Linked DNA regions of Arabidopsis thaliana. The protein of the gene in region 1 interacts with the protein of each later gene in a pairwise test. Each region holds a gene or a part of one and is shown on either strand. Other genes may lie near its edges.

Region 1 (17,915 bases):
TGCTGTTGTTATTCAACTCTGGTTTTAGAATCAAGTTGGGTTAAACAATAGTATAAAATTTTAATATGGATGAAAATAAAATATAAATTATCCTTGGTAATTATTGATTATAACCTATAGAATCGACAAAAAGAAAGACTATAACCTAGAGAATTTTTTTTTTTTTTTAAAACAAGTGTTCATTAAAAATCTTTAAAATATTTAGTCTGTTTTATAATTAAAATGTTTATATCTGAAATTGTATCTATCACTACTAGTTCCAGTTGGAATTATATATCTGTCAGGGTCGCATCTCGATATTATGGAATGACCTAAAATAACATCTGAAGAGGAAACCGACACATGTTGGTAAAATAAGAAGGCACACGTCATGTAAAGAAGATGACATATGTCAGGAAAGGAACATGTCCTTACAAAATAGAAACCAAATAAACCAACAGTTCATAAATGCTCCAGTTATGCCGCGAGCCATCTTTTCTTCTTTACTAAGAAAATTTCTACATTATTTTAAGATTTTTCTTTTCCATGTAGTTGTCTCATACTTCCTTCGAAAAGATCTTTCTCTAACTTCAACCTTGGGGATCGAGCAACCATATTTCAATCAACAGATTCTTTCATCACTCTAATAACGGACAAAAAAAGAAAAGATGTCAAAAAAAAAAAAATTGGAATATGCACGTTGATACTATAAGTTCATTTAAATCAGTCGTTAGAGTAAACCTTATTGAGAGTTCAAATTCATTTAAAAACCTGATGAGATAATTATATAATTTCTTATAAGATTTTTTTTTCTTGTAAGAATTTAACGAATAGAATTTTTCTCTCTATTACTTAAAATTCCTCCTCGTCAAAAATTGCAAATGCTTGGCAGTTTTACCATTTTCTCAGAACTACCGTATGAGAAATAAAGTACGTATTAAAAAACAATACAAGCTTTAAAGATAAAAGAGGCAACAAATTTTTTTGACAAAAAAATTAGATGAAAAGAAGTGACGACAAATAACTGAGAAAACACGTTTTGCAAAACTAAAAAAAAAAAAAAAAAGAGAGAGTTGGAAAATGTTTGGAGCTGGTGGGCATTAGTTGGCTATGCAACGCACGGACGCGGATACTTTTCAACTCGTTGCTTACGCGGCCACGTTTTCGTCACAAACCGTGTTTCTTTTGCGGCCTTTTAAGTTTTAATCAAACATTTTTGTTTTCATTTGAATCTTTTTTTTAAGGCGGTTATACGAATAAAATCATTAAAAGGAGAAACGGGCCTTCATGTTTAGGTTTTTGTTCTTCCTCATTTGGGTTATTTAGCTTATTGGTTCAGCCCACAAGAGTTTCCTTCAATGGATAGGGCCTTCAGTTGCATGCCATCATCCTTTCTTGTTTCTCTATAAGCCATTTTTGCAATGAGAATTTCTCAATTTCTTATTTTTGCAATAAAATCATTTTGCCTTAGATGATGGTGGAATCATCCGTTTTTCTTTATTTTGACCCGGTGAGTAATTGAACGCAAAAAATAGTCCAATTATTCAAAACCTTACAATTTCATATCGCCATAATAAACCTAAACATGATTCGAGTGAGCAACTACATAAAAAGGGGAACGAAATGTTGGTACAAAACTGAATTCCAACCCAATCAAGTGCATACTAAACTATTGAGCAAAAACAAAGATAAAAATCAGTTCACCTACCCTAATTAAAACATGATTAGGCCTAAAAGACTATAAGTAAAGATAAAAAAGATGCCATTTTAGAGTACGTTTTGGTAAATTGGCGCCATCGTGTTATACGTTTAAACCGTATAACCTGAATCATGCAGCACGTGTACGGCTCACATTGGCCCAAGCTTGATTAACAAACAATAACGTCATTTTCGTATTTCAACAATTTTGATCGCTCAATCCTTTCGACCTAATTTCCATATTAAGTAATTTATTAGTTAAAACAACGGACTCAACCAAATTACATATTAAGAGAATATTTGAAAATTGTCTATGTAGATGAACATGTATTTGAAAATTGCGTAAGCACACTCTTTCTCTCTCTCTTTTTTTTTTTTTTTTTTCCCCCTCTTCTTTCTTTGAATAAAGATGACATTTTTTTCTGTTCCAAACACAAAACTGCATATTGATAGTGTTATTGAATACTCAACGTCTCTTCTTCCAGCTTACGTAAGTGGAACTTACTTTTTGCCCCGTGATCCAACAGAAAATGACGAATGCTCCCTCAAAATCATTTCGTTTCAACAAAAATATGTATTTTATCCATAGAGAAACAACAAACCTTACACTATATACCCTCTTTTAACGTGCCCACTTTTCATTATTTACACAATTTCCCCAACAAATTTAAAACAATTTACAAAAAGCACTCAACTTTCCTAAAGTAGATTCCTTTAGTCCAATGGAATTCTTACAACATCTTCTTCTTCGCCACCTTTTTCTCTCCACTTTAAGCTTTTTCACTCTCTCTACGCCACGACGACTGTGAAGCGAGAAATGGCTACTTCCGATCAAGATCGCCGTCACAGAGTCACTCGCAACCGTCCACCAATAGCTCGACCCTCTACTTCTTCATCTCGTCCCGTTGTATCTCCTCCTAGATCAAAAGTTTCGAAGCGTGTGCTTCTCCGTGTAGCTTCCGTCGCATGCGGGATTCAATTCGGATGGGCTCTTCAGCTTTCTCTCCTCACACCTTACGTTCAAGAGCTGGGGATCCCACACGCTTGGGCTAGTGTGATTTGGCTTTGCGGTCCTCTCTCTGGTTTGTTCGTGCAACCGCTCGTTGGGCATAGTAGCGATAGGTGTACTAGTAAGTACGGTCGTCGGAGACCGTTTATTGTCGCCGGAGCTGTGGCGATTTCTATCTCTGTTATGGTTATTGGTCATGCGGCGGATATTGGATGGGCATTTGGGGATAGAGAAGGGAAGATTAAGCCGAGGGCGATTGTTGCTTTTGTTTTAGGGTTTTGGATTCTTGATGTTGCTAATAATATGACTCAAGGTCCTTGTAGAGCTCTCCTTGCTGATCTTACTGGTAAAGTTCCTGACTTTAGTGTTGATTGGGTCTTCAATTTGAAATCATTCAAATGTAGTAAATTTGGGATTCTCGTGATTATACACTCACATGCAAAACATGAAAATGCATAAATTTGTGATTTTGGATACAATTTGGGGTTATATAATTACCTAATTGGTTCCTAACAATCAAAAGGTCCCTTCTTTGTTTCTGGTCGGTGGCTTATCGTTGAGTCACAGAGACTTTGTTTTTTCTCTTTCCCTTGAATCAAATTGTGGATTTTGGTGAAGTTAATCGTAGCCTACGATTGTGTGATAACCTCATGGAGTGAAAACAAAGATATGTTGTGTTTTAATTCTTGTCCTATTGCTTTATTTTCAGAGAATGATAATCGCAGAACCCGAGTTGCAAATGGCTACTTCTCTCTCTTTATGGCTGTTGGCAATGTTCTTGGCTATGCTACTGGATCATACAATGGTTGGTACAAGATCTTCACTTTTACGAAGACAGTTGCATGTAATGTGGAATGTGCCAATCTCAAGTCTGCCTTCTACATAGATGTTGTCTTTATTGCAATAACTACGATCCTAAGCGTCTCAGCGGCTCATGAGGTGCCACTTGCTTCATTGGCTTCTGAAGCACATGGGCAAACCAGTGGAACAGACGAAGCTTTTCTTTCTGAGATATTTGGAACTTTCAGATATTTTCCAGGAAATGTTTGGATAATCTTGCTTGTTACAGCATTGACATGGATTGGTTGGTTTCCATTTATTCTGTTTGATACTGATTGGATGGGTCGAGAGATCTATGGCGGTGAACCGAACATAGGGACTTCATATAGTGCTGGGGTCAGTATGGGTGCACTTGGTTTGATGTTGAATTCTGTTTTTCTTGGAATCACTTCTGTGCTCATGGAGAAACTTTGCAGAAAGTGGGGGGCTGGTTTTGTTTGGGGAATATCAAATATCTTAATGGCTATTTGCTTTCTTGGAATGATAATCACCTCATTTGTTGCGTCTCACCTTGGCTACATTGGCCATGAACAACCTCCTGCCAGCATCGTGTTTGCTGCTGTGTTAATCTTTACAATTCTGGGCATTCCATTGGCGGTAAGTTTACTCCTGTAATTCTGCTGTCATGTTACTTACACTATTACTTATGATATTTTGCCTGCTCATCTGTAACAACATGATGAAATTTATTTACGCTTTCGCTGTAACTAATGCTATTGCTACTCTTCTGCAGATAACTTACAGCGTCCCATATGCGTTGATTTCCATACGTATTGAATCCCTGGGCTTAGGTCAAGGTGTGCAGGCTTATCTTTGGGTGTTGTTTCTTATAAAAGTTCTGTTGTGTTGTTTCTTAGAAAAGTTCTGCTCAATGATTTTACTCTACATATGAGTGTTGTTTCTTATAAAAGTTCTGTTGTGGCAGGCTTATCTTTGGGTGTGCTAAATTTGGCGATAGTCATCCCACAGGTACACTTCTTTCAACCATCCTTTTAGCATTATATTTGCCGCAACTCAAAATCATATTCTTCTTTGAATGTTTCTGCCTGTAAAAGGAAGTCTATAAGCATAACATGCAGCAGAGTTACTGCATTATTTGTCAATTGTCATTAATAAACGATTCGTTTTTTTAGTTATGGTCATTGGCCAGTGATGAAAGTACACTTTTTATTTCTCTATATTAGTTGATTGATGAATTTCTTCCCTATGTTGGTTATGGTTTTTGGCATCAAACTCAAATTCTGTTGTTCAATCATTTATGTGTTTGCAGGTAATTGTGTCTGTTGGCAGTGGCCCATGGGATCAACTGTTTGGAGGTGGGAATTCACCGGCACTTGCAGTAGGAGCAGCTACAGGCTTCATTGGCGGAATTGTAGCTATCTTGGCTCTTCCACGGACAAGGATTCAGAAGCCCATCCCTCTCCCATGAGATTCTCTCTTTTGTTATATAAGGTAATAATGTCACAATTCTTTCACAAAAAGTACATAGTAAGCACTTAAGTTGTCACTGATTATTAAAAGCGGCTAATGCGAAATAGATGAGTGTCAAGCGAGGAACGCATAAGGGGAGTGCTTGGAAATGGCAAGGAGATGGAACACTTAATGTGATCCTTGTCGAAAATTCGTGCAATGGCTTCTCGTGTGACTAACTTATTTGCAGCTACTAGGACTTAATCCCCTCTACTTTGGGGACTATGATCCTTGTATACACGAGGCACCATAGAACCAATGAAAATAATACATCATTCAGTTTGTGAGGTATATGCATCTCTCCTTTATTGGAAGTTCCAGTTCGGGATCTTCTCTGTTTTTTTTGTTGTTGTTGTAAATTAATGTAAAAACCTGTGTACAACAGAGTGTTTGTAAGGGCCCCTGAGTTCTGTAACTGTTTATAAAGTTCATTTTCTTTAGAATTAGTTTGATAAAGAAAACCTGAGATCCAAAAAATTTACATGATCTGTGTAGCAAAAGTAGAAAGGAACCATTACGAGTACTAGTAGTCTCTATAGTAGCAGTAACCACCAATAGTCAGCAATAGATTAGGATGACTCTTGGGAATATTAAGACCATCTCCAATGGTTAAGAAGTAATTGGTTCTTAACCAAACATCTTAACAATTATTTATACTAAAATTTTGAAACATGACATGTAACTGTTTTTTTCACTCATGAAAACTTCTTAGCTAAGAAGCAAATCTTAGTTTTTAATTTATTTTGATTTAATTTTCAAAGTTTAATTCTAAAATATTATTCTAAGATACACCTAAGATAAACCATTGGAAGTGCTCTAAGCCTAGTAGGAAGGAATAGTAGCAAATCCCAGTTTTCTTCTTGAGTGAGATGTTTGAGATTGAAATTACTGTAATGCTATTGAGATTCTGTAGGCAGCGTATCAATAATTGAGAGAAATAAGTAGATGCTAATACAGCTTGAGCAATACTTATCCTTGTAAAATTGTGAATGATTCCAGAGTTAAGTACTTTGACCGTCCAATAGAGATTGTGTGAGAGTATGTATAACAGATATCATAATTGGTTTAAACTGAAAATAGAAAAAAAGAAAATAAGCTGTGGAGTAGTAATATGCCTAAAGAATTTAGAAAAAGGAATACACGTGTGGAGGAGGAGCACAAGGGACCTAAAAAGTCTGTTGGGATTTGGAGAGGCCCTGGCTAATATCTAAGAAGTGATATATAACAAAGGACAAAAACGTGGTTTACTCTCTGTCTGTCACCGACTCTCTCTATATTCAAAGTCAACTAGGGCGGCTTTCACACCTCCCTGCTTCTAGACGAATGGCAAATCTTATCATCTTTTTTCTATTAACAAATTCGAGGTTAGAGTCTCTAGCTGCATGCACTACGATTTCAAAATTCTTAAATCTCGTTTTCTAGTATAATTAAATTTGAAGTCTTTTTTTATACTAACTTACTACTAAGCATGCTTTTTATCCTTCTCTACGATATAATCTAATACGTTCTCAACTACACATAACCTTTTTTAAAAGTGTATCTAAAATCTCAACATACTGATTTAAGTATCACTCATTTGTGTATAACAGTTGACACTTTTGAGATTAAGAAATAAATAAATTAAGATGGTATTAAAGTTTAATACCAGTAGTTGAAATAGAAAATTCTGAAAGAGTAATACTGTATTTTCTTCTTATTTTGGGGGTCAACACAGATCAAGAAATTCAAGATTAAAGTTTTATGATGTGTATCTATCAAGAATTTCTTTTTTTATGATGAGTACTACTGATCATGGTTCAAGAGAAGATGTTGAGGTTAGTACTCTTCACCTTCAAGAACAAATACATGAGATTCTCAACAACAACCAAAAAAGAAGCATGAGATTCTCACGTGGTTAATTAATTGCATAAACGTACGTAATTAGTATTGCAAGATGTTAAGATTGTTAGAATGCAAGTGAAAATATGATGAGATCCTTGATTTTTAACCCCGCAGTACATTTTGGATGTGTAGATAATCCCCTTCTTAATTTAAAATATGATCATTTTAATATGTGTAGAAAAGTGGTTATTTTGGTATATTTTGTTATTGTAAAATGTGATCAAATCCTTCTGACGAAGAAAGAAAGATGAATCCCCATTCTCTACCTTATGTTATATTTAGATTGTGTTCTTTTTATGAAGAATTGGGTTGTTGAAAGCATTCACTGTAGGCCATTTGATTCATCCCTTGTCGCCTTCGGATTTACATAAGTGGAGAGTTTTTTCTTCTTCTTTAATTAACCTTTTTAGCTTTAGCTGAAAGAAAATAAAGTAATTGCCTTTTTGTATGCAACAAAGCAATTAGCTTTTACCTTTCAAGATTTTCATATCACAAGAAAAGCTAAGTGAAGTCCACCCTGTATTTTTTGACAAGTACATTTTATCGTCACGTCCATGCACTTGCACTATCATATAACAAAAATAAAATAAAAATAAAAGTAAAAGAATGATTTGTCTTTTCTTAGGCTTCAATTATTGGATAACTTATTTCATCAAAAACTTTTTCTTTTCTTTTCTTGTCTGTTCTCTAGTATTGCCCTCTTTTTCCATGAAGCTTCGAACGCTTTGTTGACTAGTAAAATGTGAAGACTCCATATTCGAAATAATTCATTGACCAAACAAAGATTCGTCGATTGATAGTTACGGTATGGTTAAAATTATCAATAAAGATCAATCTCTTAATATATAGTTTCACATCATGCAATCAAATTTTCTTTCACCGTGGACTCGTGAGAGAGAAAAAAAAAGAAGAAGCTGTGGTTACTTATTTGTACAGTCTAAATTTTTTTTTCATATATTAAATGATCCATGCGTACGTTAAAATTTGTCCCAAAAAAAAAATGTCATAATCTTTTTTATTTATTAATATAGATAATTTTTTATCGCGCCTTATCGTCGGTAAATATATACGTTTTATTTGATTTTTGTTTTAAGCCCTAAGATTTTCAGGATAATATAAACCAAGATGATTAGAGCCAAATGAGAAAACTGCTCTGGCTTAATTTTTTTCTTTAAAATCACTGAACTAGGTTTTGGTTGTGTAATTCATTGAAATTTTTTCATATCTGTCCGAATTGTTATCATGGTTGTGGATCTTTCTTTTTAGTATATAGCCTAAGAGTAATCTATTATAGTAATTCTAGTTTTACGCTTAATTAGACCATCTATATATATTATTTCTAGTTACGTCACCTAATCATAAAAGACTCTACAACAGCAAGCTAGGGAAACACAGTAGCAAAGAAAGTTTTTTCTTACTGATTTTCAAAGGTTTGAAACACATGTGTTTGTTTGGACTCACTAGTGTCTTCTGGCGTGGAATCAATTATTTATGTCTCCACCTAATCAGAATATGACAAATGAATACTCGCAACATAAACATAAAAATAACGCTCTAATGATAATTCTTTTTTTTTATTGTTTTATGTCGGAAAAAGAAGAGTCCACCGAGAAAAAGAGCCCTCAAACAAATTTGAACATGGCAATTATGGAGCGGCAGAATTTAATTATTAGTCCTATAGTCGATATATTATTGCATTACCTAATGTGTACACACACAATATAAGGTTGGTTAATTTGGTAATCAAACTAAAGATTTAGAATGAAAATTTCCTTTTAAAAAAATAGCCATTTGTTTTGTTTTAAGATAAGAGCTAAGACATATAACTACTTCCTAATTAACTTTGGAAAAAAGTATATTGTCGCAAGTTGCAACTCTTGTGCCATAAAAAGCAAGTGTTCAACACATGTTTATAGTGATGCCTCATCAACAGCTCAATTAAATTGAAACGTAAGTATAATACACAATCATCTACATATTTTTGCAGACATTTTAGCAAATAAATCGTAGAGTTGAACTTATTTACAACTCAATGTCATTAGCATTAAATCTTTTTTCCAAAATAATTCATTTTACTTTAAATTCTTAATTTAAATTGTCAATCACATTATCAATCAAATTTAATCCAAACAAACTTCCCATCAATCCTTTAAAATTAGCATAAACGTATTTGTTAACAATATTTAAAACAAAGTTTTTGTTTAAATAAATATTATTCTTACTAAACGTTTTTTGTTTAAATAAATAAATCCTGTATTTGAACTTATTTACAATTTCATGCTACTGGCATTAATTATTTAGGAATGAAAATATTTAATTAAAGATTTAAATCTTCTAAATCCTTGCTTTTAGATTTATTATGTCATTACCTAAAAGGCAAAAACTATTAGTTTTTTAAATATTATTATTTATATTTTAAATTTTTTTAACATTACTAATATTTAAACTTATAAAAAGTTTAATATATCAAAAAATCTTAACATCATTATATAATATATAGAGTTTTTAAAAATCTCAAATTTTTTTCCGTCATATTTTGTGATTCAAAATTTAAAAAATGAACATATATTAACCAATTGGCGAAAAATATGTGAGTTCAACGTCCCATTTTGACTAAAATATTTAGAGAATGATTCATAAACATATCATAAATAAGATCAACATTAACAAAATAAATGGTTTTTTTTTTTGCGGGACGAGTTTGGCAGGACGTTACTTAATAACAATTGTAAACTATAAAATAAAAATATTTTATAGATAGATATAATATATAAATTTTTATATATATTAACTTAAAAAAATAAATTGTCCTGCGGTATACTGCAGATTAAAATGTATATTAATACTTACGACGGACGTGTACAAAATATTATATAGCCCCAAAAATAGCGCTGCATATAAAAACCACATCTACCTAAGCCTACCATGTAGTGTAGTTGCATATAAGACAACTATAAATTAATAATGTAGTTTAATATTTTTTTTGGATTGGTTTCTTTGTTTTTGGTTAAGTTTTTTTTTCTTGGGGGTATAATGATTTTAGTTAAGTTTTGTTTAAGTTTCCTCAATGACAAAGGTACAATTTCGGCGTTACGTCTAGTCTAAAATAATCTATTAACAAAAGAATGTACTTAATTAGTCAATACTCTACTCAATAGTAGGATATCGTTTCAGTTTTGTATGTGGATTTTTTTTTAAATTTTTGAAAAATTCTATTCAATTTCAATAAAAAATTTCTGAGGATAGTCAATGAAAACCAAAAAAGCCATAATAATAATAATTATAAAGTAATATATCAAAACGCTCATATAATATTCCACATACATTTACTGTATAATCAGAAAACTAAATAGTATAGTTATCAAGGGTCCCTCTTAATAAAACCAATATTATTCAACTAAGATATACTTTATTTATTTGGAGATAATTTAATTTTCGTAAGCACCATATAAAAAAACAATGACGCAAATTATTATTTTGTTTATGTGATAAATAAAGAAATATAAAACGAGAGAAAACAAAAAGAGTGAGTGATAGTGATTACAAAGGTAAGCCAAAATTTGAATATTTAATGGATACCACCAGATAAGAAGAACTTTGCTTCAAAGCGGCAAAGCTTAAGCTTTTTTCTCGCGCCCGCCTCTCTCTCTCTCTCTCTCTCTCTCTCTCTCTCTCTCTCTCTCTCTTCTCCTCTAACCAAATTTCCCGATGTGAAAAAACAAGTTTCCGATCAACTCAAACCACCGTCACCACTTCTTCTCTCCGACATGGCTCCGTCGTTAAGGAATTTCAACTTCTTTCACCGCTTCTCCACCTTCCTCGTCTTCTCTCTATTCTCCGTCGTTTCTTCCGACGATCTCCAAGTCTTACTCAAGCTCAAATCATCATTCGCCGATTCCAATCTCGCCGTGTTCGATTCCTGGAAACTGAACTCCGGTATCGGTCCTTGTAGCTTCATCGGAGTAACCTGTAATTCTAGAGGCAACGTTACAGAGATTGATCTCTCTCGTCGAGGTTTATCTGGGAATTTTCCATTCGATTCGGTTTGTGAGATTCAGAGTCTCGAGAAACTCTCTCTCGGATTCAATTCACTATCTGGAATAATCCCCAGCGATTTGAAAAACTGCACGAGTTTGAAGTATTTGGATCTCGGCAACAATTTATTCTCCGGTGCTTTCCCTGAGTTCTCATCTTTAAATCAGTTACAGTTTCTGTATCTCAACAACAGCGCTTTTTCCGGCGTCTTTCCGTGGAAATCGCTCCGAAACGCAACGAGTCTCGTCGTTTTGAGCCTAGGCGATAATCCGTTTGATGCGACGGCTGATTTCCCGGTGGAGGTTGTTTCTCTGAAGAAACTCTCGTGGCTTTACTTGTCGAATTGCAGTATCGCCGGAAAAATTCCACCGGCGATTGGAGATTTGACGGAGCTTCGGAATTTGGAGATTTCCGATAGCGGATTAACCGGAGAGATTCCGTCGGAGATTTCGAAACTTACTAATCTCTGGCAGTTAGAGCTTTACAACAACTCCTTGACCGGAAAACTTCCTACCGGATTCGGAAACTTGAAGAATCTGACTTACTTGGACGCTTCAACAAATCTTCTACAAGGCGATTTATCGGAGCTTAGGTCTCTGACTAATCTCGTTTCACTACAAATGTTCGAAAACGAATTCTCCGGTGAGATTCCGCTGGAGTTTGGTGAATTCAAGGATCTCGTGAATCTCTCTCTGTATACAAACAAGTTAACCGGTTCTCTGCCTCAAGGACTCGGTTCACTTGCTGATTTTGATTTCATCGACGCATCAGAGAATCTCTTAACCGGACCGATCCCTCCAGATATGTGCAAGAACGGGAAGATGAAAGCTCTGCTTCTCCTGCAAAACAACCTCACTGGCTCTATCCCTGAGTCCTACGCTAACTGTTTGACTCTGCAACGGTTCAGAGTTAGCGAGAACAACCTCAACGGAACTGTTCCCGCGGGACTTTGGGGATTACCGAAGCTCGAGATCATCGATATAGAGATGAATAACTTCGAAGGTCCAATCACCGCGGATATAAAGAACGGTAAAATGCTCGGAGCGTTGTATCTAGGGTTCAACAAGTTGTCTGATGAGCTGCCTGAAGAGATAGGTGACACTGAATCTTTGACTAAGGTTGAGCTTAACAATAACCGGTTTACCGGGAAGATTCCTAGCTCCATTGGGAAACTCAAAGGACTTAGCAGTCTAAAGATGCAGAGCAATGGCTTCTCCGGTGAGATACCTGACTCGATTGGTTCGTGCTCGATGCTCAGCGATGTCAACATGGCTCAAAACTCGATATCCGGAGAAATCCCCCACACGCTTGGATCACTCCCGACGCTCAACGCTTTGAATCTTTCGGACAATAAGTTGTCTGGGAGAATCCCAGAGAGTTTGTCGTCTTTAAGGCTTAGCCTTCTTGATCTGTCTAACAACAGATTATCAGGTCGTATCCCTCTGAGTTTGTCATCATATAATGGTAGCTTCAATGGCAATCCTGGCCTCTGTAGCACGACGATCAAATCGTTTAACCGGTGCATAAATCCTTCGAGATCGCATGGAGACACTCGCGTGTTCGTGTTGTGTATAGTTTTCGGGTTACTGATCTTGCTAGCGTCTCTTGTGTTTTTCTTGTACCTGAAGAAAACAGAGAAGAAGGAGGGACGTTCGCTTAAACACGAATCTTGGAGTATAAAGTCATTCCGAAAGATGAGTTTCACTGAAGATGATATCATTGATTCAATCAAAGAAGAGAATTTGATTGGTAGAGGAGGTTGTGGGGATGTGTACAGAGTAGTACTTGGTGATGGTAAAGAAGTTGCGGTCAAACACATCCGGTGTAGTAGTACTCAGAAAAACTTCAGCAGTGCAATGCCGATTCTCACTGAACGGGAGGGAAGATCGAAAGAGTTTGAAACAGAGGTGCAAACGCTTAGTTCGATACGACACTTAAACGTGGTGAAACTCTATTGTAGCATCACGAGCGATGACTCGAGCTTGCTGGTGTACGAGTACTTGCCTAATGGAAGCTTATGGGACATGCTTCACTCTTGCAAGAAGTCGAATCTTGGTTGGGAAACACGGTATGATATAGCTCTTGGTGCAGCAAAAGGGCTTGAGTACTTGCATCATGGGTATGAGAGACCGGTGATTCACCGTGATGTTAAGTCCAGTAACATATTGCTAGATGAGTTCTTGAAACCTAGAATTGCGGATTTTGGTCTTGCCAAGATTCTTCAGGCCAGCAATGGCGGTCCAGAGTCCACGCATGTCGTTGCGGGAACCTATGGCTACATAGCTCCAGGTATATAAAGAGACTTAACTCTTATATCATCAGCTTGTTATGGCCTTACATTTTGAAATTACAATTTGACAGTAAAAAATATTGTTGCAGAGTATGGATATGCGTCAAAAGTGACTGAGAAATGCGATGTATATAGCTTCGGGGTCGTGTTGATGGAGCTAGTCACAGGGAAAAAACCGATAGAGGCAGAGTTTGGAGAGAGCAAAGACATAGTGAATTGGGTGAGCAACAATCTGAAGAGCAAAGAGAGTGTGATGGAGATTGTGGACAAGAAGATAGGAGAAATGTATAGAGAAGACGCGGTCAAGATGCTGAGGATTGCGATCATCTGCACCGCAAGACTTCCTGGACTAAGACCGACGATGAGGAGCGTGGTGCAGATGATCGAGGACGCGGAACCTTGCAGATTGATGGGGATTGTGATCAGCAAAGAGAGTGATGTCAAGGTCAAAGAAATAAGTTGATGATTGAGGGACCAAGTCACTCTTTTGGGGTCTGTTTTGTTCACAATGAAACTTAGGGAGATCGAGTAAAGTGGATCATCTAAATCTATTAAGACGTACGTAAGAGTTTAGATGGAGAGTGTTGTAATACTAGTACTCCGGGTTATGAAATCATAGGTGTTGTAACGATCTCATTGTAAACTATTTTCTTGTAATTGTAGAATTTTAAGGTTTTCAAATGTTCATGAAGGTCAACTACTAAATGAAATTTATGGTCCTTATATGCACCTATACTATTACTTTGCTAAGAAGTGTATATTCGACTGGGTAAAACAATGTCTATAAAACTTGCAATCAATCAGTTTTTAATCAGAGTTATATTTATTTCTGCGTGAGGATGATTTTATTATATTATTTGATTCAGAAAATTCTCAAAACGAAACCAAATTCAAATTGGATTCTTGGTGTGATGACATAGACCAATTATTATTATGATATCCTCTCCTGTGATTTCTAAAAGTTAGTCAAATCTACGTATGCTCAAAAACTTTTGTAGTTGCCCACTTTGACCAACTTAATAAAAGAAAGATGAAGAAATTTAGACACCTCATGGCCTTTTGGCTCCACTAATAAGAGATTCAAAGCTTCCTTTGTTGAGAATGCATTTATGTTTAAACTTTCATCTACTGATATTTACTGATTTAGCCAAAAAAAAAAAAGATACTATCAGAAAGAAGACAATAATGCTTAAGCGAAAATTGTATAATTCTTCATTCTTCACAAGCAGACAATACTGCTTCTCTGCATTGGTTCGAACAATAAACTTGTATTTTTTTTCTGAAAGAAGTCGGCAATTCTTAATATCTTCCTAAGCATAGGAATACATATTTTACATTTTTGTTTTTTTATTTGATAGAGCAAACGTCATTAGCAGATAGTAAATTAATCTCAAAAGTAAAAAAAACTAATAACTTCCTACAAGTTGAGGTAACGTATACTTGATAACTTCTTCCGCTGGCGAGTGCACAAAAACTAACCAAAGAATTGTCCTACTTAATATACAACAGTTTTTTTTTTTTTTGGTTGTATCTTTCTGATCTATCTCAAAACATATCTCCACAAACCAAGATTTGTCAGCGGAATAGATCTTGGAATGACCACATTATGAATCTTGCAAAGACATCAGACTCCAAAAACTCGATGTGAGCAGCACGGCCGATGAATGAGTTCAGGTTACGACCATACAAGGTTGTGTCGAAGTTGACATCACAGCGCATGAACACTCTCTGGTGGTGCGGAGTTTCAGGGGATGGCCCACGTATTTGGTCCATACAGTTATTAAGCATCTCCAAGAAAGCAACACCTCTTTTTGAGTTGTCGAAAGAAGCTGGTTGGCATGACTCAATCCTAGCTGAGTGATATGGAACATACCCATCCTGGAGTAGCAAAAAAAAAGACATGGCTCTAATTAGACAATATAAAAAAATGTTAGGGATTGTATTCTCATATAAGTGTAATGGAATGTACCTGAGGCGAAGACAGGAGAATTATATTCTTGAAACTGCACAACGTCTTTTGCTGAAAATAATTTCAAAACCAACATTTCAGAACCAAAGAACAAAGGTCTGTTTGTAACTATGGTACAAGATCTTGATGAAATGTTAACATCTTTCTCTACCTTGCAGAGCTTGTAAAAGAAAGTATTCTGGAGATCAGGATCATCTGTGAGTGTAAGCTGATGAATAACCTGAGTACTCTTTAACTTCTTCAGGAGCCAAAGTCCAGAATTAAACAAGGAATTTGAACTGTATAGATAACCCAAGTGTGGACCCGAAAGCGATATATATGTATGAAAATACTTCCTGTATGGATCCATCAAACTATCTGCAACAAATACATAAGTCGGGAATAATGATTAACACCAAAACCGATTTACGAACCGTTTTAAACATTGTCTGAGAGATTCTAAGAACATACCAGCTATTGCAGCTCTGATGATGACGTTACCAATTGAATGTCCAACAAAACTCAGCTTGATGTTTTTCAAGCGCCCGTATCTCGCATGTTTATCCTTTTTCCTCTTGAAAAAAGAAACAACTTCCTGCGCAAGCCTCTGACCCATTTCCCTAAAATCGCCATGTGTTCTCTCCTCATTTGCCTCAGACATGAGAAACTCTATCTTTGGATCAATTAGGAGCCACTGATTCCGGATAAGCCTTAGGTCTAAGTGATGCCCCTATAGCAGTTAACAGAAATCTATCATGTAACGAACAAAAAATTGCAAAGATACAAAAGCAAACTGTAACTGCAAAAGTAAAACAGAAACGAAAAAAAAGAAGCAACTCTAACATATGGAGTATGGACACTTTGCCAATAAACACAATGACTTAAGGAAAAAAGGTATATTCCTCCATAAGATTAAGAAATAGAAAGTAAATACGCATTCACTGAACATCAAGAAGATACTTGCCTGGAAACCATGAACAAAAACAACAATCTTCAGCTCACGCCCAGTATGCTGTGGGTTAATATGTTTTTTCGTCCCACTCTCATCATCATGCCCATTAAGTAAGCTAGAATCGATTCTATCAACATGTCTCATGTACGAATTATCACTGAACGTACGCCTTGGTGCATTCCAAACACGTTCAATTATAACTATAGGAACCCGCATAGGATCACCAAATATATGCATGTCTTGTATTGCCCGGTTGTTTATCTGCACATTAGTTATAATCAATCAAATTGTACAACTTACGAAACGAACAGGTAATTGAATCACGAAACTAAAATAACAAACCCGCATTTGTGCAATACTTCGACGGTGAAGTTCAGCGCGGGTGGATGCAACTTGTGCAGGCTGCATAAGAGAAAAAATTTGAATGAGTAGAGCCATGCTGGCACTCTGATAAAATTTGAAAAATAATCACTAACTAGATAACTCACATCATTCAGCTTCAACCCAGTCGAGACTCTTTTGTGTGAACTATGGTTTGAAATGTCCTCCATTCCACTTATAAAATGATGTGGCATTTCAACCTTGGAGTACACCATCCATATTGACCATTCCGCTCTTCGATCTTTAGTCCAGATATCGCGAAGATATTCCAAGATTTTTGTGTAATTATCCCTGAAAAGGGGAAAAATAAAGTCAATGATCAGAAGATAACTTCGCAAACATTATAAACCTGTAGGCTTATTTGACTATGGATGTCCAAAGGAAACTTACCGGTGCAATGTCAGAAAGGTATTCCATAGATAATGGAGCTGGGTGCCCAGTAAGTGGAATGTGCGAGATAGATGCTCCTTTGAGAAGTTGTGAAGCCAGTCATCACTTGCTAAATCAAATGGGCCATTCAACTTCTGTGTCAAAAATGGAGAGAAGAGCTTATATTCCAGAAGATAGCAAAACACAGTATTATATATAGAATACTCTGCAGTATAATAAAGAAAGGACCTCAAGATTGTTTTGTAGCTTGCCTTGTCCTGAACCTTCAACTTCAACAGATTTTCCCGTTGAACCTGAGTCAGATAAAAGAGCATTGTCCATACTGGATACAAACTCAGACAAGTCAACTGTTTGACCAACTGCTTTGCTAAGCCTTTGCATTTCTTCAAGCAAAGTGTCACGAGCTCCGAGTAAGGCTTTTACAAATGACACCAGCTTCTTGTCAGCAGAAGCGATTTGAGTAAAGGCCTAATGAGTTACAAAAACAATCAATCAATAAAAGTATTGTAAAATGGGAAGAATTTACTTCGAAACAGAGAACTTAATAAGTTCTGTGAAACCATGCTATTTGCAGCTTTACACAAACAATGTCAAGAAGACTGAAAAGTCTAGTGGGTTCTATAGACTTATAAAAACACGTATCGAAACACTGATGTATGATAGCTCTAGCATCCAGAAAGTAAATATTCTAAAGTATAATAGAACTCTAGCATAAATTACATCTTCCTGAGAAAAGAACGACTGTTTAAAGAAGAAAATGATACGATCATGTGTAGAGACTCTGAATGAGCATAATGCAAAATAATCAATTTGCTGAATCAGAAAATGCAATGCTGAAAGGAGTCTAAGAACACATACTTTTTTGGAAGACTGAATATTGCCACTGGTCAAATTTTTACCATTACTCGCATCACTGCACCAAACATGTTGGTTGATATATTAACTTAAGAGATATAGAAAACTCAGCAAGAAAACTTGAATTCAACAAAGGTAATTCATGCATACCTTGATAAAATTGCAGGCCGTTTGTAAGCAGCGGATT
Region 2 (15,616 bases), on another chromosome or scaffold:
TGCACTCTTTTTCGTACTATAATGGAAGTGAAAGAGTCATTGAATGATATATGTAAGAGATTTGACCTTAGCATGCATCTAACACGTCAACTTCAAACTAAATTAATATATCACAAATCAAATCCAAAACGTAAAATAATGTTCTCCTCGTCATGACTATATCTCTATGGATTATTCAACTTCTTTTACTTTGATCGTGAGGAATTTCATATGGAGATAAACTTTTTTTTCGTCAATCTTGTACAGTTAAACATTTTCCGCTAGTTAAAGAAATTCTCGTAACGGAGTATGAAATTTTTTGTGACCACATATCATCGTAGAAATTTAGACAAACAAAATTAAGAGGATGAGAGACTCGATGACTTTTATTGTATTTCAATAACAATAGAACCATGAAAAAAATACGTGCACTTACACAAGAAGCAGCCAAGCAGGTGGCCTAGAATAAAAAAAGGCGTTTGGTGTTCAATATTTTTCATCCATTTGATATTTTTATTTCTTCTCTTTCTACATACATCGAATGTTTATCTTTTAAACTTACCAAATGGATTAAAATATCGAATACAAAAGCGCCATCAATGATGATCAGAAAGTGGTTTTGGCATGGGAATCAAAATGCACGTGGCTTTCCGAGAAAGAGCGCGTTAGACAAACGCAGATCTAAAAGACCACGTGAGAATCAGCAAACAAGCAAGGTTGTGAACAATACACTGACTTCAAAATTGCGTTTCTTCTCAACCGCATCCACCATGTTTTATCATTTATTCACCAGAAAAGAAAAAGAAACAGAGATGTTGATCATGCATGTTGTTACCATTCGAAACGCTAAATTTGTTTGAAACAAATAAAAAAGAGCACCAAGTTCTTAGCCTTCCACTTGTCATTTGTCACTTTATGTTTGGGTTCTGATATTCCATTTTTATGCTTTATATATCTCAAACCAAACACATATATAGTTGGGGATGCATTATTATCCACTAGAATATTAAGAATGTTGACTATAGACAACTGTATGACATTTGAGTCTTTGAGAACTGCGAAATGGATTGATCGATGAATTTTTTAAAAATGTAGACCTAACTATATAATATCTTACAACTTTTTTAGTTTGGCCTTCCATTATCAAATAGTCTAATATTTTTTTAATAAATAAATAATAAGACTAAATAATTTGGGAGACTGACCAAAATAACGAATATTATAAGATCGATGGAAAATGGTTTAGGAAAAAAAAAATTAGACTCCTTTTTAGTTTTTAGTTTACAAAAATACATTGATGGCTGCTAAAATACATATATCCAGACGGAACTGGGACATGTAGGGATATTGAATGACAAAAGTACTTTGTGATAAGATATGAATAAATAAACCGAGCAAGTTGATAATATATTTTGTCAAATTCGTTGAAGCTAAATAAATATTACACTGTGAAAAATAAGTAGAATAGTGGTCCATACATTCTTACAGAATTTACTATATGTTGAATTCAAATCTCTCACAATGCTAATATCAATATAAATACGATAGAAAATGAAAATGACATGTTTTATTCTTCAATAACTGGTGTGTAAAAAAGTATCGTATGAAAATAACTGAAAGTGCCATTTTATACCAAATCATAGTTGCTTGGTGCGTATCGTTTGGCATAAAGTGAACTATAATTTAGATGTGAAGGTCCAATATTCCCAAGAGGCGAAGACAAAAATTGGGTAGACTTAAAAGAGTCAATTGATCAAACATGAACTGAACTTGGGTAAGATCATACTTTCAATCATTAGAAAGGATCCACCGAGAGGTCTAGCTATGAAGATAGGCATGGTCAAGCTGAGAAGGTTAGGACGTAATTAGTAAATCTTGGTTATAGATAGATAGTCATATGGTTGATCTTGCTTTCTCACACTTAACACCATCAGTTGAATCCAATGTTAAAAATAGGTAATTCTCAGATGCAGTACCTCATAAATGTTGTAAAAAAGTCATAAATAATTATTCAAAGGAATGCATGGAAGAAGTGAATTACATATTTTTAAAAAAAATATAGGAAAAGAAAAGTAAAGTTCGTACAAAAGAGAGTAGTATTATTCTCTTTTTCTTCTCCATAGGGCCTCGTAATATCTACTTAGCATACGAGGACACATTAATATTCGATCATGTATATATATGCCTACGACTACGAGACATTCGAAAGTTATTGTCTAGTGGTTTGTATTCACACAATTTCCGTGTTAACAGTTTTAGTTCCATTTCCTTCATATAGAGATCTAAATGATACTACTACATATCATTTAGTTTAAGGAAGGACGATGTAAGAAAATAAAAATCTAATATACGAGAGAATTGTAACACGTTCACTTCATAACTAGCTAGCTAGTGGTACTTACCAGTTACTACCCCAACTCTAGTCAACACTACATTAAATACTATAATGTGAACAAAATTATTTTGAACCAACGGCTGTTACAGTAGTTTATTCAACTTTATCAACCAATGCATTAAATTGAACATATTTCTGGCCGATTGAAATAGGTTGGGAACGATCTTATAAAATTCAGTCTTAAACAAGTCTTGGTTTTCAAAAATGCAAATTCATTCGTATGTTCTTGGCAAAAAATGGTTTAATTGGTTTGATCTGATCTTATCCTATCACGCAGGATTGGTGTAATATAACGCACCAAATTCGGCCAGGAAACGTCCGAATATAATAGTCCAATTCTACTTATGAATTTGACGTGTTGACGTAAAGAATCAAAAGTCGAACTTATTGAATAATTTATTCGACTTTAATTTTCTTTTGGGGTTTTGGTATGTTTGTGACCACATGGTATGGAGTTGACATTTACCATTTTCTTGATTGACTACCTAAGAAAATTTTAATTATTATTCACATTATGGAGAGTTATGTTTCCATATTTTGGCTTTAATATTAATCATGTGGTCAATAAAATAAAGAGGATAGTTATGGCATAAGATTGTCCATAATGTCATCATCTTGTTTAGTAAAAGACAGTCACATGAACCGGAATCTCGGTTTACCAAACTTTTCACTTTTTCAGTTTCACATGAATGTCACCAGATTCATTGAGTTAAACATGTATTTTAATACTATAAAAGGTTAATTAGTTATGATATCATATTTATGACTTTTAAAAGACTTTTGATATTGTAATCTGTAACTAGTTATAAGTTAACCATCTCTTATAATTAGAACAAAAAAAAACTTAATTATGGATGAACTGATTTTAATGGAAAAAATATTTAGAAATAGAAATACATTCATAATTTATATCTAAGTCTAACCAAAACACAAATCTAAAGTTACGAATAAATCATTTCAAGTGTAATTTTACTAACTATTTGACTCCTAATCTTATTTCATCACCTAAACTCCTAATTGTTATATATTTATGAGAGATAATGACATTTGTTCCTCTACATACTAATCTAATGGTTGAATAGTCATGTGTTTGACAAACTTATAAAGTTTGATTTTTCGTATGTGACATTTAGTTATACATCCATAAATTATATAACTTTCTTAGTGAGATATATGAAGGTTATATATGTGGAGTATATTCTTAATAATTAATTGTTACCCTACTTTTTTTCTTTTCGGTGACGTAACTTTTATAAAGTTTAACCCCTTAATGATTATTGTACTACATAAACCCCAAAACTCTTTTCTCTTTTCTTTTTTCTTTGTGTAGTACTGATATCAAGTCAACGTGCGGTACATAAGAACCCAAGATCCCATAAATAAATTCTTCTTGGTTTTAAGCTTTCTTCTTCATCTCTACTTCTCTATATAACTTTGAGTAGTCTCACCAAAGTCCATTTTTAAAAAATCAACTATACCATTTTTAGCTATTCTTTGGTCTTCGTTTCGTGTAAGCATTCAATGTTTTTTTTCTTTTATCTCTTTGGGAAACGGGAGTGTGGTCTTCGTGTGTGTGTCCCTGTTTCATTAACCAGTTACGTTTCATTCTCTTCTTTTCTTACGTTTACTACAGATTTCAGAAAGAAAAAAAAGTGTTTGAAGCAAAAGAGATTAATGGCAGATTCTTGAGTCATTAACTTTTTTCTAATTCTTTTAATTAGATCTCTGAACATAAGAGATAACTTGCGTCATTATTCTATGGTTATAAAGATTATGCACTTGATTAAAATAATCTCTAGTTTTCCTTTTTCTCATTTGCTAAGCAACTGTTTCTTTTTCTTCTTCTTCTTCTTCTTCAGATAATTATGCTTGGGAGTGGAAAGCAAGAAAAATTCTAAACTTTATATAAAATTCCCAGAATCAATTGATCCAAAAAGAGGTACCATTTTTTTCCTCTCGTCATTTTCCATAAAAGTAAGCTTTTGATTGATATTTAATTATTAAAAGAATCTGTCTTTTGGGTTTTTGTTTTGACAAATTTTTGTTTTTTCAGTATTGTCAAAAAAGATAATCAAGAAGAAGAAACTCTGTTTTTTTGTTCTGTTCTTGGAAAAAAATGAGGAGTATGATGATGGAGAGAGAGGGAAGGAATGAGATAGAAAGAGAAGTAATAGATGACTTGGAAGAGACGCAAAACGAAGGAGATGATTTCAAGTCAATACCTCCATGGAAGGAACAAATCACTTTCAGAGGAATTGTTGCAAGTTTAATCATTGGTATAATCTACAGTGTGATCGTGATGAAACTAAACCTAACAACAGGTTTGGTCCCAAACCTAAATGTCTCTGCAGCACTTTTAGCCTTTGTCTTCCTTAGAAGCTGGACCAAGCTGTTGACCAAAGCCGGGATTGTGACTAAACCGTTCACTAAACAAGAGAACACTGTTGTCCAAACATGTGCTGTTGCTTGTTACAGCATTGCAGTTGGAGGTTCAGTGAATTTTGACCAGTTGTTTTGACTGTTTGATCAGTTTTTGTTTGGGGTTGGATCATTGTTTTGAGCTATGTGTTTGTGTGATTTGCAGGTGGGTTTGGTTCATACCTTCTTGGTTTGAACAGAATTACTTATGAACAGTCAGGAGGAACTCACACTGATGGGAATTATCCGGAAGGCACGAAAGAGCCTGGAATCGGTTGGATGACCGCTTTCTTGTTCTTTACTTGCTTTGTTGGTCTTTTAGCATTGGTTCCTCTAAGAAAGGTAGAGATTATTTAAGATTCTGTCTCATTGAATTTGTAGTTAGAGATGTTGCGGTAGGCCAAAGTTTGCGGGTCAGTCCGGCCCATATAAGTGTGATATGGGCCTGGCCAAACCCGCTATAGCCAACATAGGACGGAGATTAATATTGGCCAAGTTTGGACTATTAATCCCCTGTTGGCTGGTTTGGGTCTACATTGCTAAGTGTTCATTATGCTTCTTTTTTTGGTTAACCAGATCATGATCATAGACTACAAGCTGACATATCCAAGTGGAACAGCTACCGCGGTTTTGATCAACGGTTTCCACACTCCTAAAGGCAATAAAATGGCCAAGTATTAACTCGATTTTTTGGCAGTCTCTTAGCTCTCTTTCACCACTAATTCTAGAGTTTTTGATTTAAATAAAATCTGTTTATATGCAGGAAACAAGTGTTTGGGTTTGTGAAGTACTTCTCATTTAGCTTCATTTGGGCTTTCTTCCAATGGTTCTTCTCTGGTGGTACAGAGTGCGGTTTCATTCAGTTTCCAACTTTCGGGTTAGAAGCTTTGAAGAACACGTGAGTATTATTCTTAGTTCTATTGACTGTTTATATATCAACAGATAGAAACAGAATCTTGATGATCTTGAAAAAACTTGACAGATTCTACTTCGACTTTAGCATGACATACGTTGGAGCAGGAATGATCTGTCCCCATATTGTCAATATATCTTTGCTTTTTGGCGCGGTTCTGTCTTGGGGAATCATGTGGCCACTCATTAAAGGTCTTAAAGGAGATTGGTTCCCATCAACTCTTCCTGAAAACAGCATGAAGAGTCTCAATGGTTACAAGGTTCCATACAAAAAACACTAGTACTCTACAATAAACTCCGCCCTTTCTTTCGCGTACTTTCGTTCTTAATTTGTTCATAACTCTTTAGGTGTTTATATCAATCTCATTGATCCTCGGAGACGGGCTTTACCAATTCATCAAGATACTTTTTAAGACAGGAATAAACATGTACGTCAAGTTAAACAATCGCAACTCTGGGAAATCTAGTAAGTATACACCAAAAAAACTATAGAAAAATCGTCATTTCAATAATGTATTATCTGATGTTCAAACGTAAATCGCAGATTCGGAGAAAGATAAGCAATCTATTGCAGATCTTAAAAGAGATGAGATCTTTGTAAGAGACAGCATTCCATTATGGGTTGCAGCAGTAGGATACGCAGCGTTCTCTGTTGTCTCGATCATCGCGATCCCTATAATGTTCCCCGAGCTGAAATGGTACTTCATAGTCGTAGCTTACATGTTAGCTCCATCGTTAGGTTTCAGTAACGCTTATGGAGCAGGGCTAACAGATATGAACATGGCTTATAACTATGGTAAAGTCGCTCTGTTTATCTTAGCCGCTATGGCAGGGAAACAAAATGGTGTAGTCGCGGGACTTGTCGGATGCGGGTTGATAAAATCGATTGTATCGATTTCTTCTGACCTAATGCACGATTTCAAGACAGGACATTTGACTCTGACTTCACCTAGGTCGATGCTTGTGAGTCAAGCGATCGGTACAGCGATCGGATGCGTTGTGGCGCCTCTAACTTTCTTCTTGTTTTATAAAGCTTTCGATGTCGGGAACCAGGAGGGAGAGTACAAAGCTCCTTACGCTTTGGTATACAGAAACATGGCAATTCTTGGAGTTGAAGGTTTCTCTGCTTTGCCTCAACATTGTTTACAGCTTTGTTACGGGTTTTTCGCATTCGCGGTGGCGGCAAATCTCGTTAGGGATAGGTTACCGGATAAGATAGGGAATTGGGTTCCATTACCGATGGCAATGGCGGTTCCGTTTCTTGTTGGAGGGTACTTTGCTATTGATATGTGTGTGGGAAGTTTGATTGTGTTTGCTTGGAATATGAGAGATCGAGTTAAAGCCGGTTTAATGGTACCGGCGGTTGCTTCCGGTTTGATATGTGGAGATGGTCTATGGATTTTGCCGTCGTCGGTTCTTGCTTTGGCCGGCGTTAGACCTCCTATATGTATGGGCTTCATGCCGAGTAAATATTCGAGTTAAAGATAGCTTTTTACGAGTTTTTACTTTTTTGTGTAGCGACAAAAAAATTAGCTAAAGAATTGTGGAAACAAAAAAAACAGTTTATATAGGAATTGTACTTTGTAAGTTTGTATACACAATAAAGTAATAAACTAGTCTCTCAATTCTATTTAAAAATCCATGTCCCAAGTAACTTCTCCCCAAAAAGAAACTCAATATTTTAGAATAAGGTCAAATGGAATTAAATTCCAGAAGATATTTGCCAAAATAGTGATAAAAATACGGTTAAATTGGTATATGTTTTTACTGACAAAAGGCAAGATTCTTCTATTTTAAGATTTATTTCTTTCTTTGAAATCTGCTAAACGTTGTTAGATCACACTTTATGTGTCTGTTTTTTTTTTTGTCAATTCAGCACACGTCATATTTGTATTTTTCAAAGTACCAAACGTGGACCAAAATAAAATCTCGTCAAAAATGGAAACCAAATTTTAATTTGATTTGCACAAAGCCCAATTTGATTTGTTTAAAGTCAAAGCCCAACTTGACCAAAACTACCCCTGCTCATCCAAACCCTAAGCAAAATATCGAGGGTAGTTTCGTATTTTGTTTATATTGAACACAATTAAGTAGGTGAGGAACCTCTATTTCTTCCGTCTTCTGCTGATTTCTGAGCTTCGGAGCTATCGAAAATTCTGAATCTGAAAGGGTAAAGATCCCATCTTTTTCCAAAAATCGATAAGGGAATTAGTATATTCGTTCATTCATCATCGTTCTGATGATTTCGATTTGAATCTGTATCTAGTACTCTGTATTATCAGAAATTTTGATTAGTAGCTTTGATGTGTTCTTGTTTTGCAGTTTGAGTGAAGATGTCTTCAGATCGGAAGGTTCTAAGTTTTGAAGAAGTTTCAAAGCACAACAAAACTAAGGATTGTTGGCTTATTATTTCCGGCAAGGTTAGATCTTGTCTCTTTGTTTGAGAACATCTCTGTTTTTTGACGAACTTAGTTCTCTTCCGCCATTGATTTGTGTCAAAGCTTCGATTTTAAAGTTGTAGAGTTGGATTGTTACTGTTAGAAGCTTTAATCGAGCCCCTCGTAGATTTAGTTGATTCTATGTTAATTCACACTAGAGAAACAGAGTTTGTGTCTACTACTTGGTTATGATCTGTGATTGTTGCGTTCTTTAGGTGTATGATGTGACTCCATTCATGGATGATCATCCTGGAGGCGATGAAGTCTTGTTGTCCTCAACAGGTATAAAACTTGTGTTTCTCTCTGATTCAAGGCGGATTTGAAGCGGCTCGGTGACTGTTTCTGTTCTGATGTGGTGTTTTGTTTGCAGGGAAAGATGCTACAAATGATTTTGAAGACGTTGGTCACAGCGACACTGCAAGGGACATGATGGACAAATATTTCATTGGTGAGATTGATTCGTCTAGTGTTCCAGCAACTAGGACATACGTTGCACCACAGCAACCAGCCTACAACCAAGACAAGACACCAGAATTCATTATCAAGATTCTTCAGTTCCTTGTTCCGATCTTGATCTTGGGATTGGCTCTTGTCGTCCGTCACTATACCAAGAAAGACTAGAAGAAGCCAAAGGCTTGCTTTGATGCTTGTCATTGAATATCTCTACCGATCTCTGTCTATCTCTCTTGCGAAAAAAAGTACTGTTACTGTTGTTTGGTCTTAGACTGATTCTTGTTGAAATTACGAACCAAAAATCATTGTGTTGCTACTAGTTTTACTGTGTTGAGTTTATGATGACAGTGTTTTCGACTTTGATGATATAATAAAAGACTGCTTGATTTGCCCAAACTTAAGCTGCTTGATAAAGAAGTGAGAAACTGGATTTCTACAATTGAACAAATATGTTTCATACAATTGTGGAAATGACAGTTTCAGACTCATCCGTTACATTTTAACAAGAATATTGCCTTGTCTTTTTCATTAGTACTACAATAAAAGCGATAAGGATAGTAGTATTGTGTTTTCTCTGTGTGATGAGTAAACAAAAAGAAAGAAGAAAGAAAGAGAGGAGTGAAAACGGTAAGAACCAAACCGCAACAAACTTTAAACCTTGAGAAAACGCAGCCAGACGAGTGCAAGGGCTTTTGTGTAGTGGAAACACTTCATTTCTGGCTTTGATCGACTTCTTCATCAAATACTCTGTGATTGAGAAAGAGTTTCAATCTTGTCGTGAAGCGTCACGACAAGATGATGGGCATCATCAAGAAGCTTCCAGACATTAAGCTGACCAGCCATGCTATTACACTCTTCCACAATCTCATCCATACTACTGTATTTCTGTATGATCAGTTTCCTACGTAGTACTAACGCCGCGATTGCATAGAGCAACAAATCATCCGTTGGCGGTGCTTGTTGCCGGATTCTGCTCCATGGCGACTTCCCAACTCCAGCTCTAATGGCAGCTTGATCAGCCCACATCACTTCCCAGAGACACAGCGTCTGTTCAAAACTCAACTCCCTCCTAAACATAACAAGCACCATCCTGTAAACGAAACTACAATCTTCTGCTTGAAGATTCTCCAAGTGTTTATAAAGCTGAGAGTCTTTATTTTTTATGATCTTTGATACAATGCTTAGCTGTCTTTGAATCCCTGCTTCGTCAAGCCTGAAATTGTGCCGAGCTTTCTTCATGAAACCAACAAAGCACCAGAAAGCCTCGTGATCCTCTGAGATCACAGCGAGGATTGGAGATAACAGATCACTCATTCCTTGACAGTAGCCTATCTCAGGATCATACATAGCATAAGCTTCAAGAATTGCAACTAACCGTGCTGCGTGGTATAGCCTGCAGCTTTCTAAGTGATCATAGTCTTTTAACCCGACAGATTCGGCTAACCTGCGAGCTTTGCTTTCTGTGATTGCTGTTGAATATGGAGAATAATTTGCCCATTCAGAATCCGCTCGTAAAGCATCAAGCCGGATGATACGTTGCCACGTAGAGAAATCTTCGTGTACCGCAACTTCTACTTGGACCTCAGAAGCAGCAGCTACAAGAAGAGAACTATTCTCTTCAGAATTGTTATTACTATTATCCTCCTCCGGCTTTTTTTCATCGCTGTGTGCAAAAGATGAGAGTAGTAAAACATCTTCATTATCTTCACAAGAGTCTGTATCAGAAGAATCAGTGTTCAAAGCAGAAACAACATCTTGACTTGTCATTGGTCCTGTAATCTTATAATCATCCACGAACCGAACACATTGACTGTTTGCCTCATCAGATGGAAGCTCCTCAAGATTATCGGTACTTCCATTACCGCACTTGAGAAGCATCTGACATCGTCTCTGTAGTTTCTCATACTCCTTCCTACAATTCAAAGATCCCAACAATGAAATTATCTATCAGCATCTAAATACAAACATTGACTATATATAGATCAAACTAAATACTAACCTTTTTTGAGTTTTCACTGCTTCTCTTTCTTCACTAGTACTATTCAAATCATAACTGCCATAAGAGAAAACAAGTTGAGAATCTCAACAGAGTGAATAAAAATAACCAAGACCATAAAGTCAAAACAAGAACAAACACTCACACTCCGAGTAAGAACAGCCACACTTCTGCACGAATACTTGGATCAACACCCTACAGAACCATAAGAACATAAATCAGAACCAGTAAAGAGACAAGTAAGAAACAAGACATACATATGGTCCTTGTTCAAAAGACTCACTCTGCTTCTAACTTTCTTCAGGAATCCAACTCCACCATCACGGAGTTTTCCCTCCGGTGTAAATAAACTCCTCCATTGATGTGGCGTCAATGCCCATTTTCTTTTCCGGCGAGACCACGGTGATTTCCGCCGGCTATAAACAAGTCAAGAGTCAACATTAGAAGCTTTTACAATATCAAAATCAACAACATTGATTGCCAAAATCAATCTAACAGCAAAACAAATAAACAATCCGAACAAACATAGAAACTTGTTAATCTTTATCATACTTTCCAAGTTGTGAACATTCAATCCGAACTCTATTATTGGATCAAAAAAGAGAATCTTTTAGATGCCATCTAAAATATTCCAAATCTAAAAGCTTTAGGCTACTCACCGATCGGAAGAAGTAACTGAAGACGGAGACGAAAGATTAGCCACAAAGAGAACCGACCGTAGATGGATCCACGACGACGAAGACGAAGAAGAATTAGAATTCGAATAAGAATTAGAATTAGAAGAAGGAGGTGAAGAAGAAGAAGAAGATGGTAACGAAGAAGAAGACGAAGAAGGTAACGAAGACGAAGAAGATGAATTCCCAGAAGACGTTGAAGTATAGCTTCTCCGTAACGCCTTCATCTGATTCTCTAAAAACTTAAACCTAAACCCCAAATCAAAATCAAAATCGAAATCAAAAAGTCTCCTGCTTTCATCAAAGATCTACACTTTTAATAAAACCCATTATCATCGACGGTGAATCACCGCCGGAAATTTCCCGGTGATAAGCAAAAGTAAACCTCTTCCTCCTCCTCCTCCGCCGTAGCAGAAATCAAGCATGAGTTGTTTAAGAAAAGAAAAGGACAGATTTACCCTCAAATCTCTCTCACTGTGATTGATTACTCTATCGTCTTCTTCAGCACGCCGAAACTGAAAAAAAGAAGAGAGACGAAGAAAGAAGACGAAGAAGAAGGAAAAAAAGCAAAAGCATCCAACAACTGAAGCCTCTCTAACCACTTTGCTCTTTCTTTTTCAGCTCTTGTCTTTTTTTTTTTACTTTAAGACATTAAGCGCGTGGACTCGCGCGTTTACTTTAATGCTACACGCGCTTTAACTCTCCACGCGATTTGGTAGGTGAATTTTAATTATGAAACTGCGTCGTTTCGTTTTAGTCTTCGTTGGTGGATTTTTACGCGATATCGGGTATGACCAAAGAGGAAATGACACGTGTTTACTATGGTTAAAAGCTTTAAATGTCAAAAGCTAAAAGATTTTCATTACGTTCCCACTTTACCGCGGCTTTTAAGGAGCATAATCATGATTAGTTTTGTAGATTTTCTAGTAAAATTTTTATGTCTACTAGAGAACAAATCTAATCATAAGAATGTTGACCTAATGGACCTACGTTTACTCAATGGTAAGGTTAAGAATTGGATTAACGATGGTTATTGAATATATATAGGTGTTTCTAAAATACTCTATTTTGGAATAGTTTTTGTTTGGTAGGATAATGATATATATTAAATTTCCATAGCAAATACTAACAATATAGTCAAAGGGTTTATCTTAATTAGGATTGATTTTTATGATTTGATGTTATAGATAACAGAATAACAAAAATTAATTCATTTGACAACTTTTCATCTATATTAATGAGTTTTCAATTCGAAATTATTGATCATATGGAGAAAAGTGGGCAACTAAATAATTCAATATTTATCTAAATAAAAAGTTAAGAGAAATTTATAAGATGGAAACACAAGTTAATATGATTTACATGTAGATGTTTTCAATAAACAAAAAAAAAAGGAAAAGGGTTAGTAAACACATTCAAATGGATCAAGTTAAAACCGATTAGTAATAATAAATGTCTATGAACCGAGTCAAAATTAAACTTTGAACTAAGCCAAACCTAAACTTGTTTATAGCATAATTATAAACAAAGACTGAAAAGGATTTGATTAATATGATGTTTATTGTTTATTTTGTTGTGACTTGTGAGTCTTACTAAAGTGTAACGGAATAAAGAGAAAAAATAACTATACCTTTTTTTTTTTTGACTGACATAAAGCCGAAGATATGCTATTAAATCTAGCCGCGTATGTCATTAACCAAATCTGGAATATAGTTGGTATTAAATTACAAAAGCATATGGAAAAGAATTTATTCTAATAATAAAGCACTACTAGTAGTAGTATTTTATTTATATATTTATGAAAATATACTTGCATGTTCTTGGAACTATAATTGTTTTTAAATAATATTCTGATTAAGAAAGTTAATGAGAGTTTAAATGAGGAAATTAAAGTTCGTTGGATGGAGAAGACATCAAGCAAGACTAGTGGCCAAGTTGTAGGTATAAAATAACATTATTACGTTCTAGGGATAAACATTTGGTTGCTTGAAAGATAAGTTATGTCTATGTAAATGCAGAAATTGCAATGATAAGTTTAGTCACTATGGATAGAGAGAGAGAGCTTTCAAGAGCAGAAAACACGACAATCGATAACTTTGTTTATGTGTCTCTCACAACTAGCAATGTCTACCGGCATGAAATGTGGGTATTATGTCCAAATCTAAGCGTTTAAATGGTTGCACTGGAAGAAGGACTAATTGCTTAGGAATTTGATCACTATATGCATAACAATGGTATAAGAAAACTATCTGTGTTCTTCACAATATGTGCATATATAAAGAAGTAGATTAAAACTTCTACTTATACACATTGTTCTCATTTGTGGTCTAGATGTGTATAAGCATCTTCTCTTATCCTATCATCTTGTCTGAAAAATATTCTGAATCATTGACTTTGGTGATTCTTTAGCTGCATATTCTAACTGAAGCTGTTCATCATTTGTAAGTTTCCATCCCAGAGCACCCAAATTATCTTCAACATGTCTTACCGACTTGATTCCCGGTATCGGTACTGTCCCTTTGCATATGCACCAGTTTATTGCAACCTGTAACAAATGATAACTCGTTCTTACAAGTTTCAACACTTCTTCTTCCCAAGAATCTTATGAAATTGAAATAATACCTGAGGCATAGTCTTTCCTCGTTTCTTTGCAATCTCGCTCAGTGCTAAAAGAAGAGGTTCTAATCCAGGAAGAATTTGTCGGAACAGCAATGATCTGTTAATCAGTGTTCAAGCATAGTTAAGAACAAGAAACAACGGCTAGTTTTGTCGATCTTTGAGCAATCTATTAGTACTTTACCGTGGACCAGTGGGAAGTTTTGAAGAGGAGTATTTCCCAGTTAGCATTCCTAGCCCAAGAGGACTATAAGAGATTAAACGAATCCCGAGCTCGTCGCATATACTCTTGATCTCTAGTTGCTCTTTTCCCATGCTTAGCAATGAGAATTGCACTTGGGCAGAACATAAAGGAACCCCTCGAGTTTTAAGGTAATCATGAATCTTCACAAGCTGTTGAGGTCCATAGTTACTAACTCCAACGGCTCTAACTAAACCCTGAGAAAGAGGAACGCTTATCATCAACTTTCCAAGTGCTTAAATGGTCATTAAAGAGATTTCATATTTTCAGTAGTTTTCTAAGCAACCTTTTCGTACATTTGCACTAGACCATCCCAAAGAACAAGCTCTTGTAGAGGCGCGTAGCTTGCAGTTGACCAGTGAAGCTGTCCAATCCCGAGCTGGTCTATCTGAAGCCGGTCTAAAGAAGCTCTAACACAACAACAGAACATCATCCAATTTATCATCAATCTCCAATAAACCAGAAGTGAAAAAGAGAGACAAAGATCAAAACTTAGAGAGACCTGCAGGCATTCACAAACTGTCCTGAAGTTAACCTCCATGGATAAGCTGCAAACTTTGTAGCTACCACTACTTCATTTTGTTTCCCTTTAAGTCCTGACATTTGCAACCATTAATCACAACACACAAACCCACCACAGTAACTTATCAAGACAGCTCCAGGATAATACTTTAGAACCAACTAAAGGCAATTTTTTCCCCAAATTTCTGAAACTATCTATTGAATCAGAATCTTTAGACCAGTAACAAAATTGGGAAAGGTTAAAGAGAAACACACCTTGAGATTCTTTAATGAATTTCCCCAAAAGTCTCTCACTTTGGCCATTAAGCCTACCAGTGCCATAAGAATCAGCAGTATCAAACAAATTGATTCCATTTTCCAAAGCCAATTCAAAAGCTTGTTGAAGCTGATCATCCATGGAAGTCTGATAACCCCAAAGAAGCTGATTACCCCAAGCCCATGTCCCAAAACCCATAGGAGAAACACTTAAAGGACCCATTTTGACCTAAAACCATCGATTGTTCATTCAATTGCATTAAAAAGGAGAACACTTTGTTACGTTTGCTTTATATGCGTATTGATGTGTTACCTTTTGCCATGGCCAGAAAAGAGGAAGCTTGAGAGGCTTAAAGGTGGTTATGTTGGAAGTATTGTTTGAGCAGTTTATGTTAGTGAAGGTCTTTGTGGTTGACAATGTTAAAGCCATTGAAAATAGTGGAGAAGAAGGCTCTCAAGCCTTTCTTCTGCTGTTTCTCAGTGTGTGGATGTTTTTGAAGATAAAACTGTCAACGCTTTTTCTGGGAAAATTTAATTTAATATTCAATTACTTTATTTCACATAATACACTCTAAAATCAATTTAATGTTAATGAAATAAATTGATTTTAGAGTGTATTATGTGAGATGGGCAAAGAAAACAAAAGTAAGGTTTGCCTCTGTTTATGGGTCCAGTCCAGTCTCATAATAGAATTTTGTGGAAGCCCACCCAAGAAAC

What was found.
Region 2: the proteins of SUT4 (region 1) and CB5-E interact in a two-hybrid assay, tested with the Arabidopsis thaliana proteins (one study listed by BioGRID).

The regions. Positions count from the first base shown.
Region 1 is NC_003070.9:3,241,764-3,259,678, forward strand, and holds SUT4 (sucrose transporter 4), read left to right. Parts: upstream 1-2,222; 5' UTR 2,223-2,494; coding exon 2,495-3,032; intron 3,033-3,395; coding exon 3,396-4,123; intron 4,124-4,259; coding exon 4,260-4,323; intron 4,324-4,451; coding exon 4,452-4,495; intron 4,496-4,796; coding exon 4,797-4,955; 3' UTR 4,956-4,978; intron 4,979-5,064; 3' UTR 5,065-5,453; downstream 5,454-17,915. Other genes in the region: LRR XI-23 (Leucine-rich receptor-like protein kinase family protein), read left to right, coding at 10,645-13,201, 13,289-13,665; AT1G09980 (Putative serine esterase family protein), read right to left, coding at 14,778-15,080, 15,172-15,222, 15,323-15,528, 15,622-15,880, 16,115-16,363, 16,445-16,504, 16,591-16,774, 16,874-17,007 and 3 more. UniProt on the Arabidopsis thaliana protein: Responsible for the transport of sucrose into the cell, with the concomitant uptake of protons (symport system). Can also transport maltose at a lesser rate. May also transport biotin.
Region 2 is NC_003076.8:21,751,591-21,767,206, forward strand, and holds CB5-E (cytochrome B5), read left to right. Parts: upstream 1-7,738; 5' UTR 7,739-7,874; intron 7,875-8,026; 5' UTR 8,027-8,037; coding exon 8,038-8,124; intron 8,125-8,357; coding exon 8,358-8,424; intron 8,425-8,512; coding exon 8,513-8,763; 3' UTR 8,764-8,988; downstream 8,989-15,616. Other genes in the region: YSL3 (YELLOW STRIPE like 3), read left to right, coding at 4,491-4,863, 4,959-5,134, 5,369-5,466, 5,556-5,690, 5,775-5,964, 6,053-6,170, 6,249-7,186; AT5G53570 (Ypt/Rab-GAP domain of gyp1p superfamily protein), read right to left, coding at 9,334-10,507, 10,595-10,648, 10,737-10,786, 10,875-11,007, 11,251-11,498, 11,616-11,690; PLR1 (NAD(P)-linked oxidoreductase superfamily protein), read right to left, coding at 13,625-13,810, 13,888-13,981, 14,066-14,319, 14,409-14,532, 14,625-14,718, 14,900-15,128, 15,213-15,329. UniProt on the Arabidopsis thaliana protein: Membrane bound hemoprotein which function as an electron carrier for several membrane bound oxygenases, including fatty acid desaturases.